Linked DNA regions of Arabidopsis thaliana. The protein of the gene in region 1 purifies or fractionates together with the protein of each later gene. This does not show direct contact. Each region holds a gene or a part of one and is shown on either strand. Other genes may lie near its edges.

What was found.
Region 2: the proteins of AT5G01940 (region 1) and AT2G18720 fractionate together in Arabidopsis thaliana (co-fractionation; one large-scale study listed by BioGRID). This does not show direct contact.
Region 3: the proteins of AT5G01940 (region 1) and AT4G39520 fractionate together in Arabidopsis thaliana (co-fractionation; one large-scale study listed by BioGRID). This does not show direct contact.
Region 4: the proteins of AT5G01940 (region 1) and AT2G40290 fractionate together in Arabidopsis thaliana (co-fractionation; one large-scale study listed by BioGRID). This does not show direct contact.

The regions. Positions count from the first base shown.
Region 1 is NC_003076.8:362,828-366,632, forward strand, and holds AT5G01940 (eukaryotic translation initiation factor 2B family protein / eIF-2B family protein), read right to left. Parts: upstream 2,065-3,805; 5' UTR 2,039-2,064; coding exon 1,874-2,038; intron 1,799-1,873; coding exon 1,699-1,798; intron 1,592-1,698; coding exon 1,530-1,591; intron 1,451-1,529; coding exon 1,308-1,450; intron 1,229-1,307; coding exon 1,086-1,228; intron 994-1,085; coding exon 905-993; intron 857-904; coding exon of another isoform or gene 809-856; coding exon 767-808; 3' UTR 516-766; downstream 1-515. Other genes in the region: MAN6 (Glycosyl hydrolase superfamily protein), read right to left, coding at 1-40; AT5G01950 (Leucine-rich repeat protein kinase family protein), read right to left, coding at 2,213-2,680, 2,758-3,008, 3,092-3,158, 3,235-3,518, 3,603-3,761.
Region 2 is NC_003071.7:8,114,336-8,118,688, forward strand, and holds AT2G18720 (Translation elongation factor EF1A/initiation factor IF2gamma family protein), read right to left. Parts: upstream 2,664-4,353; 5' UTR 2,643-2,663; intron 2,477-2,642; exon of another isoform or gene 2,435-2,476; 5' UTR 2,425-2,434; coding exon 2,301-2,424; intron 2,203-2,300; coding exon 2,034-2,202; intron 2,004-2,033; exon of another isoform or gene 1,978-2,003; coding exon of another isoform or gene 1,958-1,977; coding exon 1,855-1,957; intron 1,772-1,854; coding exon 1,544-1,771; intron 1,459-1,543; coding exon 1,240-1,458; intron 1,155-1,239; coding exon 585-1,154; 3' UTR 520-584; downstream 1-519. Other genes in the region: SCY1 (SECY homolog 1), read right to left, coding at 1-117; AT2G18721 (uncharacterized protein), read left to right, coding at 2,664-2,771.
Region 3 is NC_003075.7:18,370,321-18,376,026, forward strand, and holds AT4G39520 (GTP-binding protein-like protein), read right to left. Parts: upstream 3,920-5,706; 5' UTR 3,681-3,919; coding exon 3,639-3,680; intron 3,488-3,638; coding exon 3,434-3,487; intron 3,040-3,433; coding exon 2,863-3,039; intron 2,606-2,862; coding exon 2,534-2,605; intron 2,232-2,533; coding exon 2,172-2,231; intron 2,095-2,171; coding exon 1,985-2,094; intron 1,893-1,984; coding exon 1,593-1,892; intron 1,510-1,592; coding exon 1,318-1,509; intron 1,218-1,317; coding exon 1,166-1,217; intron 1,060-1,165; coding exon 1,009-1,059; 3' UTR 545-1,008; downstream 1-544. Other genes in the region: CYP96A12 (cytochrome P450, family 96, subfamily A, polypeptide 12), read right to left, coding at 1-151; AT4G39530 (Tetratricopeptide repeat (TPR)-like superfamily protein), read right to left, coding at 4,416-5,706. UniProt on the Arabidopsis thaliana protein: Binds GDP and GTP, and has low GTPase activity in vitro.
Region 4 is NC_003071.7:16,828,213-16,832,978, forward strand, and holds AT2G40290 (Eukaryotic translation initiation factor 2 subunit 1), read right to left. Parts: upstream 3,015-4,766; 5' UTR 2,678-3,014; coding exon 2,294-2,677; intron 2,164-2,293; coding exon 2,107-2,163; intron 2,028-2,106; coding exon 1,941-2,027; intron 1,858-1,940; coding exon 1,711-1,857; coding exon of another isoform or gene 1,660-1,710; exon of another isoform or gene 1,623-1,659; coding exon 1,518-1,622; intron 1,210-1,517; coding exon 1,111-1,209; exon of another isoform or gene 1,107-1,110; intron 974-1,106; coding exon 818-973; 3' UTR 554-817; downstream 1-553. Other genes in the region: AT2G40280 (S-adenosyl-L-methionine-dependent methyltransferases superfamily protein), read right to left, coding at 1-88; FER4 (ferritin 4), read right to left, coding at 3,289-3,326, 3,462-3,525, 3,630-3,695, 3,813-3,874, 4,132-4,219, 4,305-4,365, 4,450-4,533, 4,686-4,766. UniProt on the Arabidopsis thaliana protein: Functions in the early steps of protein synthesis by forming a ternary complex with GTP and initiator tRNA. This complex binds to a 40S ribosomal subunit, followed by mRNA binding to form a 43S pre-initiation complex.

The DNA.
Region 1 (3,805 bases):
CAGAACAGAGCACAATTCTGAATCCAAGTTGGTCCTTCATTTTTCGTTGGTTTATGGATGAGAACAGATTCCTCTTCATTTGGTTGCATGTTTAGGTATATATTCATATCCACAGAGTCAATAAAACATGGACTTGATTATTTAAATAAAAAACATTAACTTACAAGGCAAGGGAAGCGGTCCTAGGTTTCAGCCCAAAAGCAAAGAGATGAAACTTGAAGCACATGTTGGAGAGATATTAATCAGAGGACTGGAATGTGAGACAACTCCAAAGTAACGTGTCACTGCCAAGCTAAGATTCGAAGCCAACCCCCACTAGAGTTAGCTGACATGTCATATTCAATTTTTCTTGCGCAAGCTTCGGACCAACCCATCTTTAAAGTCATTTCACAAATGCACAATGTGATCTAAAGCAAATCCTCTTTACCGTGACAGGAACTAGGGAACTTATGTTTTTGCATTACGTGCATATAAAATGACACGTTACTCTTAGCAAATTTGCATCATTTGCGTTTTGTCTCAGTAACTGATCATTAAAGAACTTCCATTAGGCATACACTAGCTAAAGACATCTCACAAACGGTTTCGAGAGTTTTAGTTCAGCCCTACAACATCTCTCAGGACGCGGGAACTTCTTTTTTAGAGTTGTAGAGAAAACGTCTTCTGATACAACTGACTAACAAAGTCAGAAGAAATCACTATAAATCTTACAATGGAACCTTGCCCAGCACGTTGCTCTTGAATTTCCATATCTTCATGAGTTTCTTCACAGTAGATTTGGTATATCGACTGGTGCTACTAAACCACACTGCACAAGAACAGACTCAAATGAGACCAATTTATCCTCATCTTTCCCCTGACCTGAACGCAGCAATCAGATGGTTGCAGAGATTATTCTACTTACCGTCTCACATCTGAGATTGAAAAGACCATTGCCCTCCTCCGCGAGAGCTGTGTCAGGACTTTTGCAGCAGACGCAGATTACGAACGCATCTAAGACACAATGATTTTACATATCAGACAAGACACCCACCACTAGAAAAACAAAAAAAAAATCAACACCGGAGACTAGTTATGGAATTCACCAATGTATTTCCGGAACACAGCTTGAAAATCCTTAGAAGACACTAAACCCTTAATCTCTAGCCGCTGCTGTTTGTTCAGCGATACTTTTGTCTCCATTTGGGCAAGTAAGAATTTCATGACATGATCTGGCTTCCTATGCATCCTGAAAAATGTATATTTAAAAGTGATAAATGGCTCAATAACTACAAGTAGTTAAAGGGAAGATGAGTTAGAATTCGTACGTTCTGCAGAGATCAGCAAAGTTTAAACAAACAGTTATCGTCCCTTCTGCAAGGAGCTGAGGAGGCATCATCACTGTTCTTGGCCTCTCTGTAGAAACCTCGACATCTTCCTCACGAAGCCTATCAAACACCATACTCAAGAGCTGCAGAGCATAGAAAAGCTCGGATCACAAATGAGAACCAGTAGCATAACTAAAGAACTCTAATTTTAGCGAAAAGTACCTCTTTGTAGCCATAATCTGGCTCAAATTTCCGGCTAGATTGACAGTCCGGTAAGTTATCCTCTGTTACGATAACATCAATAAAGGACAGTAGCTTCAGACACAACATAGATTTGGGTACGATTAACTGATTATCTTCCAACGCAATTCTTTGAAAGCTAATTCATTACCCGTAAAGTGTCCTCCATTCTGGAAGAAGATGTCGTCTTCGCGTATCAGAGGCTTCTGCTTCTTCTTCTTCTTCTTCTTAGAAGGATCAAATTTACTGACCTACATCAGCATAAGCTTTAGCAAAACGGAACCCGAAGAAACGGTGATATAAGAGGTGGAGAAGCTGAAGCATACCCATGAAGAATCGTTATCTATAACCTCGAGTTCAAGTTTCCAACACGCCTGCTTTTGCTGTAAATCCATCGTCGCCGGCGGGTCGACAAGTTTCAGCGTTGATCGGAGGAAAATTAAAAACGAAACCAGGGACTGTGATTGGGCCTGTATTGGGCCTTCAGACATTGATGTTGGTATAACGAATTTTTTTTTTTTTTTTTTGATTCGAAGTTTGGTATTAACGATTTTTGAAAAGAATATATTACAGTGTAACTGGAAGATATCTAATTGGTTAAAAAGTAAGAAAGGTGGAGTCAAAGTATATGTATAGAGATTTGTACATAGATGCAATGGTTGGAGTCAGCGAGGAGCGATGCTGGGAACAAAGCCGCTGCTGAGATCGCTTCCTAGAAGGCTCGACGACTCGTAAAGGTCTCTTGTCACATTCGACGACGATGTTGACAGCACTGACGAAGATGACGCCAATTCCACTCTTGTCTCCCTATCGGGGGATGCTTGGAGCAGTGACTCCAGCTCCTTCACCACCTCCGCCATTCCTGGCCTCATCTCTGGTGAGTCGTGGCTACACCTCAGTGCCAAAGCCGCAAACTTTTCAACACTTTCCATCGACCACGGCTCCATTCTCTTGTCTATCAGCGATACCATCATATCCCTCTGCTCAGCCGTCTTCACCTCTCGTACTATATTTTTTCCATGGGATATGGCGTGCATACCAGTCAGCAGCTCCAAGAACACAACTCCGATGCTGTAAACATCGCTCTTGTCCGTCAGCTTGTGTGTCAGGAAATATTCAGGATCCAGGTACCCCTACAACATTCAATAAAACTAAGCAATGAATCTCTTGTGCCAATATATGTTTCACATCATTCATTTTGATGACTCACTGGAGTCCCACGGACAACGGTTGAGACGTGCTTAGGCACATCCTCTTCGTCCTCCAAAACAGGAGCAAGTCGAGACAGTCCAAAGTCTGCAACTTTGGCATTGAAGTTGGGGTCGAGGAGGATGTTACTGGCTTTGATGTCTCGGTGGAAAACTGGCGGGTTGGCTTCTGTGTGAAGGTAGAGAATACCTTTTGCTGCTCCCAACGCAACACGAATCCTCATCCCAAAGCTCAATGACTCCTTCCCCTTAGCTGCATCACCAAATATTCCATCAATTGAGAAAACTAAATGACACACATCCGAAAACGCCCCATGAATCATTGTGAATTACTACCAGACAACCAGTCGCGCAGGGTGCCATTTGACATAAATTCGTACACCAGCATCTGCAAATTCAGCAACTTCATAAGCAATTTTTATAGACATCCAACTGATAACACCTTACTCAGGCGGTTCTACTGGGTATCAAGAGAGTACCTGCTCGCTTTCTTCATCACAGTAACCGATCAGTGACACAAGATTCCGATGATGCAACCTCGAGAGCAGCTCTATTTCATTCAAGAACTCCTTTTCACCTTGCAAAGACCCTTCATCTGCTCGCTTTATTGCAGCAACAGTATTGTCAGATAAGACACCTCTGTAAACCTTTCCATAGCCTCCGCGCCCAACCAAAGTTGAGCTGCTAAAATCGTCGGTGGCCTCTGCTAGCTCTTTGAAACTAAAGCCTCTTATCCCAGAATTCAACAAGGAAGCCTTCGAGGCTGACAAATACAACCAGATTCAGTTAAAGTTGGTTGTAAATTTCAGTGGGATAAATTGGGAATGGAAGATTTGGTTACACTTACATGACCGTCTTCTAGATATCTCTCGCTCGTGCTTGCTGTATCTTCTAAGCAACAAGGCTGCAACCACAGCGGATATCGCAACAGCAGTCACCACAGCCCCTGCAGTTATTGCTGCCAATCGTCGCCAGCTGACGCCTTTCCTTTCACTGTTGAAGTTAACTGAGAGGAGATAAAGAAGACTTTCACTTAGCTCTTAGCAGTCA
Region 2 (4,353 bases), on another chromosome or scaffold:
TCCTTTGTAAAGAGAAGAGCTTCGCAATCTCGAAGATGATTTGTGATTGAGACGAGACAGAGACGCGAAGTTTGAAGAAGAAGAAGAGTAAGAGGAAACTTCGCTTACCGTTATCATCCTTATCCTTCTTCTCCTTCTCCACAACAACGACGATTTCTTCTTTTCCTTTTCACTTTTTTTTTTTTTCTTACGGAATCCAGCTAATGGGCCAGGCCTTTTAGGCCCAATACATCTTTTGCACATTATTAATCTTTGTTGTTTTGGGCGTTAGGAATGAGACCATGACTTCAAGTCTTTCTTTCTGTTTCTTCAAGACTTCAAGTTTCAAGTTTCAACAATCACAAATTATATCTTTCTCTCAAATGAACTATGTAGGATAATTAGTTAATTAAGCTGTAACATCCATAGACTATAAAACTTTTAATAACAAATCAAGATGATGCAATTGATCAAACTCTAGTTAGACTTCACACAAAAAGCATAAGCACATAGAAGTTTAGTTATCTCCTTTGGTGACAGATTAGGAATACTCTGAAGATATAATGAGACTACAAGTTTGGTATATGTGAATGCATCAAATATAATCATGCCAAAGAAGGAGGAGAAGGGATAAAAATGGTGGTTCCAGCCTCAATCTGACCGCGACCGATCAAACGCCAATGCCTATCCACACGGCGACTTATAGCCACTTTCTCTCCAATGCTGGTGCACACAGGGAGTGTCAGATTAACTTTCACCATATCTTTCTTTACTCCAATAACCATAGCTCCCGTAGACATCGATCCGATATTCAACATCAGTATCTCTCCCTTGACTAGCTTTGACACTCTCATTTGCCTCTCTGTTTCCTTTGTCTTCACTCCAATGAGACGTGTCAGAAGCTGGAAACTCACTTCAAGTTCAACATAGACATCAGGGAGAGTACCTATTTCACCAAGGACTTGACCAACTAACCTATCACCACGCGTAAGCGTAGGATCCATGCTTGTCCCAATTCCAATCAAACCTCCCGGGACAGCAAACTGAAGCTCGTTCTGTTCCGCGTACAATGAAGTTATACGCGTGTAAATGGGAGTGCATTTAGTGTCTCCATTCTCATCTTTTCTAGTGATTCCAGGTCTTATCTCTATTATATGCCCCACCTTCAAAACACCCTGCAAACAAAGCAAAGAGAGACATAAGTTACATTGATTCAACCGCGATTTATCCTAGTTTTTCGGGGTATTGAGTATGTTTTACCTGAAGGATACTCCCACCTGCAACTCCACCTTTCATACCATCATAATCAGAGCCAGGTTTATTGACATCAAAAGAACGAATCACAATCATTCTTGGAGGTGACACAAAATCCCTCACAGGGAGTGGAATCTTCTTGACAATGTACTCACACAAAACATCGATGTTGTATTTCAGTTGCGCTGAGACAGGAACTATAGGAGCACCTTCCGCATTCGTGTTCTGTAATAACAAGTTTAAAACTTAACCAACTAATCAAGAAGTGAAAAATGCAAAAAAAAAACAGAATGGGAAAATTGAATCAAACCGTTATAAATCTCTGGATGTCCTCGTGCTGTTTAATAGCCTCGTTTTCTTGGATGAGATCAATCTTGTTCTGAATGATTATGATATCTTTAAGATGCATCATATCAACAGAAGCAAGATGTTCAGCTGTTTGTGGTTGTGGACATGTCTCATTCGCAGCAATGATTAGTAAAGCACCATCCATAATCGCTGCTCCATTCAGCATTGTCGCCATTAGGATATCGTGTCCCTAATCAACACACAAAACACCTCATTAACATATAGAAAATGGTTACAAAAGATTTAGAAATAGTGTTAAAACTCATTTTATACCGGGCAATCAACAAATGAGACATGTCTTAGTAGTTTCATCTTGTACTTCTCATGTCCAGAGACATCACAACTTGGGTTGTCTTCTTTGCCACTCCCGAAAGACCTATAATTAACACATATCATAAGTTGCTACGTACACTACGTAACCTTATTGTAGCAAAAGAAGAGCAAGAATTCACTTGTAGGCTACTGGTCTAGGGCATTTTTCACATTTGTAAATCTTTGCGTTTGCGTAACCAAGTTTAATGGTAATGTTACGCTCCAATTCACTCTTGAATTTGACAGTGTGCACACCGGAAACGGCTTTCACGATTGTCGATTTCCCGTGAGCGACATGGCCAATGGTTCCTGAGATATAGAGAGCATAGTCATATCTTTAGCTTTCAATGCACGGCTGATCAGTTTCTTCAGCATCAAAACTCAATGAAACAAAAACTTGTGTATACCTATGTTAATGGTGGCTTGACGAGAGATGACCTCAGGAGAGAGAGGATGCAGCTGAGCTACATCAAGTTTACTTAGATCTTGTTCAGCTAAGCCCTTGTTCTTCGACATTACGACAGATTTCATCTTAAACACTCTGTTGCAATCAATCAAAGTTCACAACTTTAGAACAACGTTGATCAGAGCCAATACAATAACACTAGAAGTTTCGAAAGGCTGTTCAGAAACTAGGGTTTTTATGCAAGATGGATGGGTTCCGTTCACAATAGTTACGATTCGATTAAATTCAATTAGGGTTGCTAATCTATTTCACTGAAGTTCTTATAAAAATGATTTACACAAACCTGAAGTACGGTAAGAGGTAGATGAAGAAGTTTGCTCGCAGAGATTTCAGAGGAGAAAGCGTGCCGTTGAAGGTTTGTGTTTTTGGTTTTGATAAAGTCAGGTGGCGTGTAAGGTATATTTATAGGTAGGGTTTTATCTTAACGTTTACTGTTTGTCTTTTTCGCCAACTTCATTTTTCCATGTGTCAATAAAACATGTCTTACAATTTTTATTTTATAATTGTCGGTTTCTTACCCGAAATGTTTTTTTATAGGAAAATTTGTGTTAGGTAATTTTGCAATTTCATTTACAAAATATAGCACGCTCCTTTTGAGATGGGCTAAAATCGTTCCAAAGTTTGGGCTTACACGCCTAACCATTGGCCCACTCCAGTTTACTTCTATCTTTCACCAAACTAAGAAACATTGATCCTTGAACAAAAAGTAGTATATGTTTATATGATGACAAAAAAAAAAGAGTAGGAAATCTATGATTCTATAGGAGTGTAAATGAATAAGCTGTGATAAATTTAGGTTATTTTTCTTAACGATATATATTGTTAGATCAAATTTTATAGTTACATCATTTGGAGTATAATGTAAATATGTTCCGCTTTATAATAATGTAAATATGATTTGTAATACTAATGAGAACACACGCTCATTGTCTTCCAGTTCAAGAAATATCTTAAACCCCACTTTTTATCAGCCACCTGAATTTGAGTCTTCCTCTGCCACATAATAAATTGTTTACATGGACCAATTCTTGGTTACAAAACATCTGATATCATATCGTGCAATTAAGAAGGTATTAAATGATGTTTTTTTCTGTGGCATTTGTATATACTTTCAAGTTTCGACCAATTCTATAAGTTAAGAAAAAGGCATTGAGGGAAATTTAGGTTAGAAAAAGTACACAACGATCCCAGCAATGGGAAGTAGCTATCACTTTCAGTGACCCTATTTCTCTGAGTGGGCAATAACATTGTAGGCCCCATTCTGTGGAAAATCCACTAACTTCAATGTCTGCTCTCATTTTCTATTGTCTCCTTCGCTGTTTTTTTACAATTTACGTTACCACCAAAACTATTCCTTTGTTTAATGACGAAAACGCCACTCTTTCTAAGCAAAATGTCAGAGAATTTTGTTTCTTTGTTGGAGAGTTGAAAATATTTTTTACATAGAAAAAGAAACCAATAATGCAGTCAAATAATAATAGGAAGCAAATAATAATGCAAGTATCTCTAATTCTCTATATCAAATTGTATTCAATCATATTCACCAGATGTAACCTCTATAATGGAACCTTTTTGAATATTAAAATATCATTAGATCCTATTCTTACAATGTATCAATCAATTACTAATTAATTTTCTCTGGTTTTCTTGATATAACAATAACGTTAAAAAATCTCATTGTTAATCTCTTTATGCCATCATTAGTATTGTAAGATTTTGTACACTTTAAATTGTAAATTTGATCTTACAGAAACAAAAGATCTACAAATCTTAGTTACAGAAGATAATGGTATTAAACTATACAAATCTTAGTAGTTTAATATTATTAATAATCAAAATTATTCTAAATTAGAACTTTTACAAAATAAACATTTATCAGTCGCTTTCATAAATGTCAAACAATAAAAAAAGAAAAAGAATCAAAGATCTAAAGAGTGGCATTTTTATGACGTCACATTGAAATCCAACCGTGTAAATTCTTTTTTTTTCAATAT
Region 3 (5,706 bases), on another chromosome or scaffold:
TGCGGTGGAGAACCATCAGGAAGCCTGGAAGCATCCCAATAACTGGCCAGTTTCGAAAAACCTGACCATGAGGTTTCTTGAAGTACATGTAATAGAAGAAGAAAAGGCAAATGATGGCTATGGCAACGTCAAGTAAGCTTACAGAAGCCATATGAGAGAGTTAGGAGCTTGGTTTACAGACACAATATGGTGGTGGTTCCTTTTGTGTGTTGAAGGAACTTGTTTATATAGAGTAAGATTATTACATATATAAATTAGCAACCAACAAAAAGAAAATTTATTAAAAAAGAAAGAAATTACCAATGCATTCATTCAACTGCTTTTCATATCTTAAGAATTAAGATTAGTGAAAGTGTTAAGCTGGTGAAGCTACTAACCACACAAATGGATGAGACAGAATTGGTGGAGGACTTGTAAAGAAGGGTCCATAATCTTACAATTTCAGACACTAAATGACAAACCAACTTTAAGAGGATAGACAAATCGAGAAGTGCATCAGAATTCACGGTCCCAGACACTGCAACGAAGGTCGTTGTAATAGTTTTCCAAATCTATTAATGTCATTAAATTTAATCAACAGTCCAAGTAACAACTAACTGTCAGAAATAATAACACCTCGACCTGGTCAGTGCAATGAAGGCCGTTTTAACAGTTTTTCTTTATTACATGAAGAAAAACTGAATCATATGTTTAGTAAATAAAATCCAAAAAAGTCTAGTTGCATACATAAAAACAAGGGAGGAGAAAATCTAGGCAAACCCATACTGGAGATAATAGGAGGTGTTCCGACAACATCAATCACATGCTTAATAGTATTATTGGAAGAAGACAAAAGTATCTAATAAGACATAAAAAAGGGTGTAGACACAGATTTCGTCTGGATATAATAATACAATTACAAAAGAAAGATAAAGCTGAGAAACCAAAAGAAATCCTGACCTTCCTATAGGAGATCTCATTATGGCTACTTTGGTTGGTCTCTTGACTGCTCTCCATTATCTGCAAAAATCATATCTTTTTAACGATCTGAACAACATCCTCGTCCTCAAGCTCGTGTTCCTGAAGTATAAAATACGATGTCGAGACAGCAATAGTTAGTTAGTCAGGGATATTGCAATATCGATTTACCAGATTAACTTTTGTTTGATTTGCTAGAAGAACTAACCTTTCCAACTCTTTGTGGCTTGTGTTTGGCACTTGAACCCCAAACCAGAGCGCTGTATCAGGAGATCATTAGTTAAGTATTCATGAGCGATGCTTTTGAGCAAGAACCATATAACAGAGAAAAGAAAAATGTTAAGGATTTTAATTACTTACTACTTGAATTGTTTAAGCATGTCTTTGTGAATCCGGATGCAGAAGTCCTCTACTGTTCTCTTCTTGGATGATAAGATTACGGGATCATCATAATCCGGATTCATTGCCTTTGGTTTTGTGTAGATTCGAGTTAGATCCAAGTATTCCCATATCTTGTCCAGAAGTCCATCAAGATTCCACTCCAGATGCGCACTGCAAGATAAATAAATTTATATCTTAATGGCAAAAGTAAACAAGTTTATCGCAAATCCTGCCGGTAATTTAACAACATTTACCTGACAGGACAGTAATGAGGAAGTTTGTCCAAAATTTCAAGTTCCTCAAGTGTGATTGAATCGATCTTGTTGACAGCATAGATACAGGGCATATAAATCCGACTGCCCTCGATGACATCAATGAGGTCATCAGCGGTTGCATCGTAGCGCAGGGTGATGTCAGCATTGTGCATCCTGTACTCACCGCAAATCGCCTTGACGGTGTCAAGGTCAAGGTGTGTGACAGCGACTGTAGAAGTTAGATTGATACCACCTTTGTCTTTTTTCCTAAATGTTAAATTTGGTGGCTCCTTGTTCAACCTACATAGCAACAGTCCATGATCGAGTCAGACTATCTACCAGAAACGATCAAATATACAGTGTATAAAGGTTGTTATATAAACAATCTATACCTTATTCCGAATCCTTCGAGCTCTTTTTCAATGAGACGCTTGTGAGTAATTGGTTTTATGGCATCAAGAACTATTAAGATGCAGTTGCATGTCCTAGCCGTACTTATAACCTGGAAATAGTAAAGTGTGAAAGATGATCAAAGAGGGTCAAAATATAAAATACTCAAGAGATTTAGACTCGACTTACCTGTCTTCCTCTACCTTTTCCATCTTTAGCACCCTCAATAATACCAGGAAGATCTAATAACTGCAAACACATAGAAGGGGACATAAAAAAGAGTATTAGCATCAGTGTCCAATGAATAATTACAGGTCGTTTCCTGACTTAAACTAAGTACCAAGAAGTCATTAAAAGATCAAGCAAGATACATGTTTAATATAGAAGTAAGACTCGAGAAAAGATAATTACAAGCTAGGACATGGCATATGTAGCCAAGGATTTCATTGTGTTTCAACAATTACCAAGACAGAGGAAACACTATCCAAGAATTATCATTTTTCCCCCACAAATAACAGATTAACACAGACGCATAGATGTAGATACCATACCTGGATTTTAGCTCCACGATATGTGATAACACCAGGAATGCATGTCAAAGTCGTGAACTCATAAGAAGCAACCTGAGAAAACATTGTGTATCACAGTATGTACCTTCAGAAAATTGAGTATCAGCCAAAATACAGTTCTAATTCCAAGATTTATGTTCATCTATCCAGGAAAAGACTAGCGCCGAACAGTCTTGCCTTATAAGTGATATTGCACAGGAAGTTGGTCAAAAAGTAACTAGAAATAGGATGCCATGGATACGTGGTAGGTTTCAAAATTCCAATTACAACAAGAGAAAGGAAGTTCAATATTCGTAACGATAACTACAAACCTCGGAAAATGTCCCAGTCAGCTTGTTTAATAGCGTAGATTTTCCAACCGAAGGAAATCCGACCAGTCCAACTCTAGAATCTCCACTTTTAGTCACATCAAAACCTTCTCCAGCACCACCACCGCCACCTTTGGTAGGCGGTGCAAGAAGGTCCCTCCGAAGCTTAGCAAGCTTGGCCTGCAAAATGGACCAGTGAAATATGACGAGAAGCTAATGGTGCAGGAATAAGTACCAAATTCTAAAATCAATACAGAATAATATATAATGCCTGCCTAGTAGTTGTTTGATCCAAGGAACTTCACAAGAGATCATGCCGTAAATAAAATATCTCAGCTTTGTGCTTATTCAATGATTTGGGAGTTCGTATAAAACATAAACGATTTCAACCAGAAGTTAAAATATTTCTTAATGAGCTTGCTTACTGGTTGGGATTTCATGATAGCTTTTATCAAGTATCAAAACAGATATAAACCAATCAACCAAATTTGCATTTGATAAGCAAAAACACCTCAACCAATCAACCTCACTCTCAAAGCTACAAAAAACGACCTAAAGAGGAGAAAAAATGTACCTTTAACAAACCCAGATGATGAGAAGTAGCTTTATTCTTCTGTGTTTTAGCCATCTGCCACATAAACAAAAAAAACCTCGTACTTGTGAGTCACCCAGATTGAAAAATCATTTCTTTGATTCAGAATAGATATTTCGGATTCACAGTTCTATGCATCCAAAATTGAAGAGAAGAGGTGAAGAATCAGAGAGGATTGAATAATTACCTCATCTTCAATTTCTTTGATCTTCTGCATAATAGTCGACATGGTTGCAGTCAAAGCACAGAGAGCTCACGGAGACAACGTCAAGGAAAAGAGGTTATACGCGAGTGAAAGGAAGAAGGACACCGGAATCTCTGATGCAGAGAAATTGACGACGACGGACGAGACAGAAGCAGAGGAATCCCGAGGGTTTTCGTTTCGTCCACCTGATTACGACAAAGGAGAAAAAACTAGAACAGAACTGTCTAGAATTCGGCCTGACCCAACAACATTTTAGGCCCATATATGTCCGATTTGGTTTTCCGGTTTAATAAAATTTACAACAGAATGAGAATTTAGTTTGGTTATATACAATAAACCCTGTTCTGAATTTTTGTTTTGTTTTGTTTTGAATTGGTGTTTTTCGGTTTTAGTTGATTTCAAAAACGGTTTAACTAAATTCAAATGAATCATGTACAACATACCATTCATGCATTCACCATTACAACTTCTCTCTCAACCCGGTTTTAGGAGATGATGAGAAGAAACTGAGAACTGAACCGGGGTTAATTTTTGAGTCTTCCTTCGGATTTGAACGGAACAGAATCGATTTTCCCTTGATTACAAAACTTAATAGCAACATCTTTGCTCTCCTGAGCTAGCTACCCCTTCAGCTTCTCGATATTAACCATGGCTTATTCTTTCTTCTTTGGCTCGCTTTTAAGCTTCATCTGCTGCATTGGTCTTTAACCAAATAGAGTCCATCACTCCAATAGAAAATGAGTTCTTGTATGGTAGTTATTAACTAACTCCTCTGATCTGCACAAGTAAGTCGTCTAACACTTCATAAATTTGATTAGCCTTGCAGTGAGATTTATCCTTAGACAAAAATATATGAACCTCCTTATTAATCCCAATCCAACTACGTCCAGGTTCTTTCACCACACCTTCAACCTTCATTCTTTCTCTCACCTTCTTAGCTTCAGTCCACATACCCTTGGACGCGTAAATATTAGAAAGCATAGTAAACGATCCACTGTCCTTGGGATCAGACAAAATAGCCATTTCAGCAGCATGTTCAGCTAACTCGACGTTACCGGCCTTTGCGCATCCACTCAGCAAGCTCCTCCATACTATAGCAGCTGGTTTTGTCGGCATTTTCTCAATTAACTCCCTTGCTTTGTTCAATCTACCAGCACGGCCTAAAAGAGATACCATACAAACATAGTGCTCAGTTTCAGGTTCAATTCCAAATCGAAGCATTAACTCAAATTGCTTAAGTCCATCTTCTACAAGACCAGCATGGCTACACGCTGATAGAACTCCAACAAAGGTGATGTAGTTAGGCTCTATTCCCTCACTCATCATTTTTTCAAGCATCTGAAGAGCCTTTTTGCCTTCTCCATGATTCGCATAAGATGAGATGACAGAATTCCAACAAACTACATCTCTTGAAGCTGCTGAATCAAAAGCCTTATGAGCGTCTTCGGGACTACCACATTTGGCGTACATATCTAGTAGAGCATTTGTAATATACGGATTACATTCCAAGCCTCTTTTCAGAAGCTGGCAATGGAACTCTTGACCCAATTGAACACTTGCTAGGTTGCCAGCTGCTGTAACCATGTTGGCAAACGTGAATTCGTCAGGTCTTTCTCTTGATAACTGTAATTCCAGAAACAGGTTGAGAGCTTCTTCGTTCTCTGATTGTTGAACATAACCTGCAAACATAGAATTCCAGATAACAAGATCTTTCACTTTCATTTCATCAAACACAAGCCTGGAATCCTTGAGGCAGTAGCAATTTGAGTAAACATCAATCAAAGCGCTTCCAGCAAATATATCTAAGTTTAACCCATATTTGAACATCAATCCATGGATTTGTTTACTCAGTCCCAAGCTTGTTAAAGAAGCAGATGCACGTAGAAGGCTAACAAAAGTCAATAGGCTAGGTCGAATCAATCTGAACCTCATGTCACGAAAGATGTTCAATGCTTCATGTAGTTCCCATTGTGTCCCAAGTCTCGAGTAACCTTCAATCATTGCATTGAATAAAACCACATCAGCAGCAGCGAAAATATCAAAAACTTTT
Region 4 (4,766 bases), on another chromosome or scaffold:
CGTTATCGGAGGTGAAGAGGAAGAAGGTGATGGCGATGAGGAGAGTGGAGAGGAGTAAAACGACGACGTGTTGTACTGATATCGCCATTGGAGACGAAGATCATTAGAGATCAGTGTTACGAGACGCGTTTCAGGTAAGAGGAAGAGGAAAGTGTGAGCTGAGCTGAGCTCCAAAAGTCGCAACTTTCACATTTCGATTTTGCAGAGAGAGCTTAAGTAATTTTTAATGCGCCGACAGATTAAAAAAGGATTTGTGTCCGAAAGAATTTTTCTTTTCTGATTAGTAGTATAAGACAAGATGTTTGATCTTGTAATAAATCATTTTAATTATGAATCAATTGCAAGTTAACCATTTATGTATCAGACAGAGGATTTTTAAGAATTTCATTTTTGGTAAATTTTCTCAATAGAAGATCGCAGTAGTAATTGATGAATATCTGCATCTTCGGAGACATCAGATCTGAATTAAATCTACACACCTATCATTGCCAGATCCAATCAACCTACTTTCCTGAGGTTTAAACTCAAAAGTATGATCATATTGAGCCAAAGTTTTCCTAAGATAATAATGAGTCATGTGGTGGAGCAACATATTCTTGAGCAGTAGTAACATATGCAAAGAATCAAATCTTTTATAAAACCATGAATGTATGATTGATATGTAACCACCCCCTATGGGTAAAATAAAATGCCTCAGAGTCATCAAAAAGCACATAAATCCTCTCGGAGGTTTTTCTACTGCCTTGTCAAAGCTTAAACCAAAATACTGGGACTGTTGAGATTGGGTAGATTTAATAGAAAGAAAAATCCGGCAATCTTACTCGATGATTCCGGCACCTGCATCGAGATCCACTTCGCCCATACCAGTGTCCTCTTCTTCGTCTCCGCTATCTTCATCGCCGCTCATTTCTTCATTGTCAAGACGTAGCTTAGCCATGTGTTCTGTCAGCATCTTTTCATCACGTTCACTCACCTATATTTGACATAGATTATAAACATTAATAGGCGGTTGTGAACCAAATTAAACAAAACACAAAAGAAAAGCTCGTTCTTGTGACATGCAACTCGAGACGGTTCATCACTTAAAAAAAACTAATTTAAGATACTCACAGCTCTAGCCCCCTCCTTAACGACAAGCTTGCCTTTGTGTGTCTCAATTGTCTCAGTGCATGCTGCTATGGCTTTGTTTAGAATTTCAATCCCTTGTTCCTGTTTAATATTTGAGAAATTGAGAAGATAAAATGGGACAAAACATAGCATTTACACATTTATGGTTTAAGTGAAGACAAATCCGCAGAGCTACATAATTGGCAAACAAAGTTGCAATGTCCAGTGTTTTCTTAAGCATTTACTTTCCTTGCAACTACAGTGTTTTCAAAATTCTGGCAAGTAGCTTTAGTGGATATACAATCTAAACAGAGATCATAAACCTCTTAAAGATAAGTAGGGGAGGATTTCTATAATATACCAATTACCAAACCAAGTAAATCATAGTGCAAGATAGAAGATTGCCTAACCTTGTCAAGTGTCTGAGTAGTAAGGACATACAGAGGTGGAGCAACCAATTTAATCTTAACAGGACAGTCTTCATTTCCAGCGGCTTCAGCATTTTTCATAGCCTCCTGAAATTACAAGCATGGGTGAGAAAATCAAATGAAATCATAATGTATTCATTTCACAAGTTAAAGATAATCTAATAAGAGATACGACCTTAATGTGAACAACTCCATCAAACTGAAAACACTTCAATTCGATATCAGCCCGGATTTTCATTGGTTGTGGTGTCATTCTCCTCCTAATGTTCTTCACAAGTGCATCTTTCACTTCTTCCGTAACAGCAGGTACAACCTTAGTCACCTACAAACAGAAAACTTGTAAGATTAGCACCAAATAAAGTTAGTACTAACCGCTAAAACAATGCCAGAGAACAAAGTATATACCTCTTGCCCATCAGGCCCAACTTCTTTGATCTCACGGGTGAGAGGACCCAACACTGAATCAGGATCCGTCACTAAGATCTTGAAAGCCTGAACAAAAGAAAATTATATATGAGAACTAAATAACCATAGAGATACACAATGAATCTCCAATTCACAAAATTCTTACCTCAAAAGCATGACCATGTCGTCGATACAAAGGCCAACCAATGTTCACATACAAGTCCTGCAACATGAAAGCTCAAATCAATTTCTATTCAACGATCACATCACTAAGCTATGATATTTGATAATATCTCTAACAAGCAAAATCCAAATCCAGTAGATAATCCCAGATTTGAACTACGATATTTTACCTCCAAATCAATTGAAAGAGTCTCAGCAACATGGCGCATGATAGAATGAACAAGTTTGCTCTTGTTATACCTCTCTTCACAAGTCTGAATATCTTCCTCGCTGACTCTACGTTTGCTCAGATCAATGTAACCTTTCTCTTTGTCAACACGGAGAACCATGACAGGCTCAATTCTTCCGACCTTAATCAAACTGCTAACACTTCGGATCCGACGACGAGAGAGCTCGGAGAAAAGGATCATGCCTTCGATGTTGTTGTACTCGAGGAGAGAAACATAAGCTCCCATATCGGCAATGTTCTTCACCTGGATCATCACCGCCATATCCACCTCTGGGTATTTCGCCTCGTACATCCGACACTCGAGATTCGGTGTTTGACTCGCCATGATTGGTAGATTTCGATACTGCTTGAGCTCACGCGAATTCACTCTTCGTTGAATCGGGTAAAGCTACGAGGCGGAGACACTTAGGGTTTTAGACTTTTTAGGCGACGGAGCAAATCAGACAGGTTTCTAGAGATAAGAAATGAGCAAGGAACACAAACGGAAAATGAGTCGACTTGCGTCAAAGATGCCAAGTTAAACGGCACCGTGTCAGTTAAACAATTAGGTTTTAATTGGGCCACAAGATAGTTTCAAGGGGTTAGGGGTTAAAAGCCTATTCGGGTTTCAGACATTTTCGGCCCAACTTCTTTCACAACGTAAGTTTGGATTGATTTCCTTTGCTTATTCATGAATTGCGTTTAAACCGGAGCAAACTAAACTAGAGCTCGAATCCACATTTGGCAGTCCAAAAACATTCTGACCGAACCGATGTAGAATCGATCACCAGGTGGGTTTGATGAACCTTATACCAGAATATAAAGTTATGTGATCATGTCTTTTGTCTCTTACAGAAAAAGAAGTCTACTACCTCACAAAATCGTAAAAGCTAAAGAACTAAACATAAAGTAGACACATATAGAAACACAGTAGACACAAGAGTCCCTCGAAGCTGCTTACCCTTCCAGAAGCATCTGATTGAAATGCCATGTTCCTGAAATTACCCACAAGCATTCAAAGACATATATTAAAACCAAGTTTGAGGCACGACGTAGGATGAATAAGTGGATTTTCTTGTTCTTTTATAAATTTATAGATTAGAACAAAATGTGAGAGATTATTTATGTACCGTGTCCTTTGCCAACTCGTCGCAGTTGAGCCACATATTCTGAGATCAACTTGATTGCTTCCACCTGAGAAATGTTTTATTTTATCAAAAATTCCTATTAGATTCTCTTTGATAGCTTATATACAACAGTAGCTCTTTGCCACTAACATAGAACACCAAATAAATTACCTGCTCTGTCAGAAACTCGCTCTCAATAAAATCTGCCAAGTGGACATCATTGTTCTTCGAAGCAACCTGTTGAAGCAAAGCATTACCAAACTGAGAACAGTTCTTGCCGAGTGAAGATTAGATTTACTTCTCAAATACGGATTTGACATATATAGTATGAACTCAAGAAGAGATGGTCTTTACACTGTGAAGGTTTAAGAGCTTCTCATTAACTAGTTTCTCCAGTGACAGAGCAAGCTCCATGCCTGCAACAACAAATCACAGAATTGTATGTTAAAATTCCTATATCCATTGAGACTTGAATCTCCATATGAGAGATACATTTTCATAATACTTAAGAACTCAGATAAAATTCAGTCTTTGCTAGTGAAAATATGCAATCTCTTCAAAAGCTTAACAAAATCATTGGTGTCAATATCTAATTTCTTAGAATGTGGCAGACATATGAAACTAAAGAAGTTTTTTCACTTGGGATTATTAGTGTTAGCATTTTTGAGCTTACCATAAAGAGCATCTCCTTTGTCAACATGTTCAAACTCTGAAAGAGGCATTACAATGGACTGTAACTTAACCCTCCCACCACGTTTGTTCTGCAATTCATGGAAAAAAACTAAAACATGTTAGAACCAAATTAGCTCCAATAAGGTAAACAAATGGAAATAACTTTCATAAGACCTGATACTCCATTAACTTCTCAGCATGCTCTCTTTCTTCCAAACTTGATTCCTTAAAGAACCTGATTCCATGAAACCAACAATTAACTATGGATAAACAAAAAAAATCCGAAAATATCAACACTCTTGAATAACCGGAGACTCACTTGGCAAGACCTTTGAGCGCGATGTTATCCCGATCAAAGTAAGCATACATAGCGTGATACACATACGAGACATTGTATTCCACACTGCAACCAAAATCCATTGAAGAATTTCAAATTCACAGGTTCATAAACAATAAGCAGAATCAACATGAGGTTCCAAGTTACCAAATCTTATAGCCAATCAACCAGATTATAATACCGAATCTAAGAGACTGGGGTGAGAAAGAATAACCTACTTGATCTGCTCGTTAATGGCGGCTTCGCACTCGTCTGAGTACTTTTGTCGAGCGAGTGAGAGATGAGAGCTGGTAGGGACG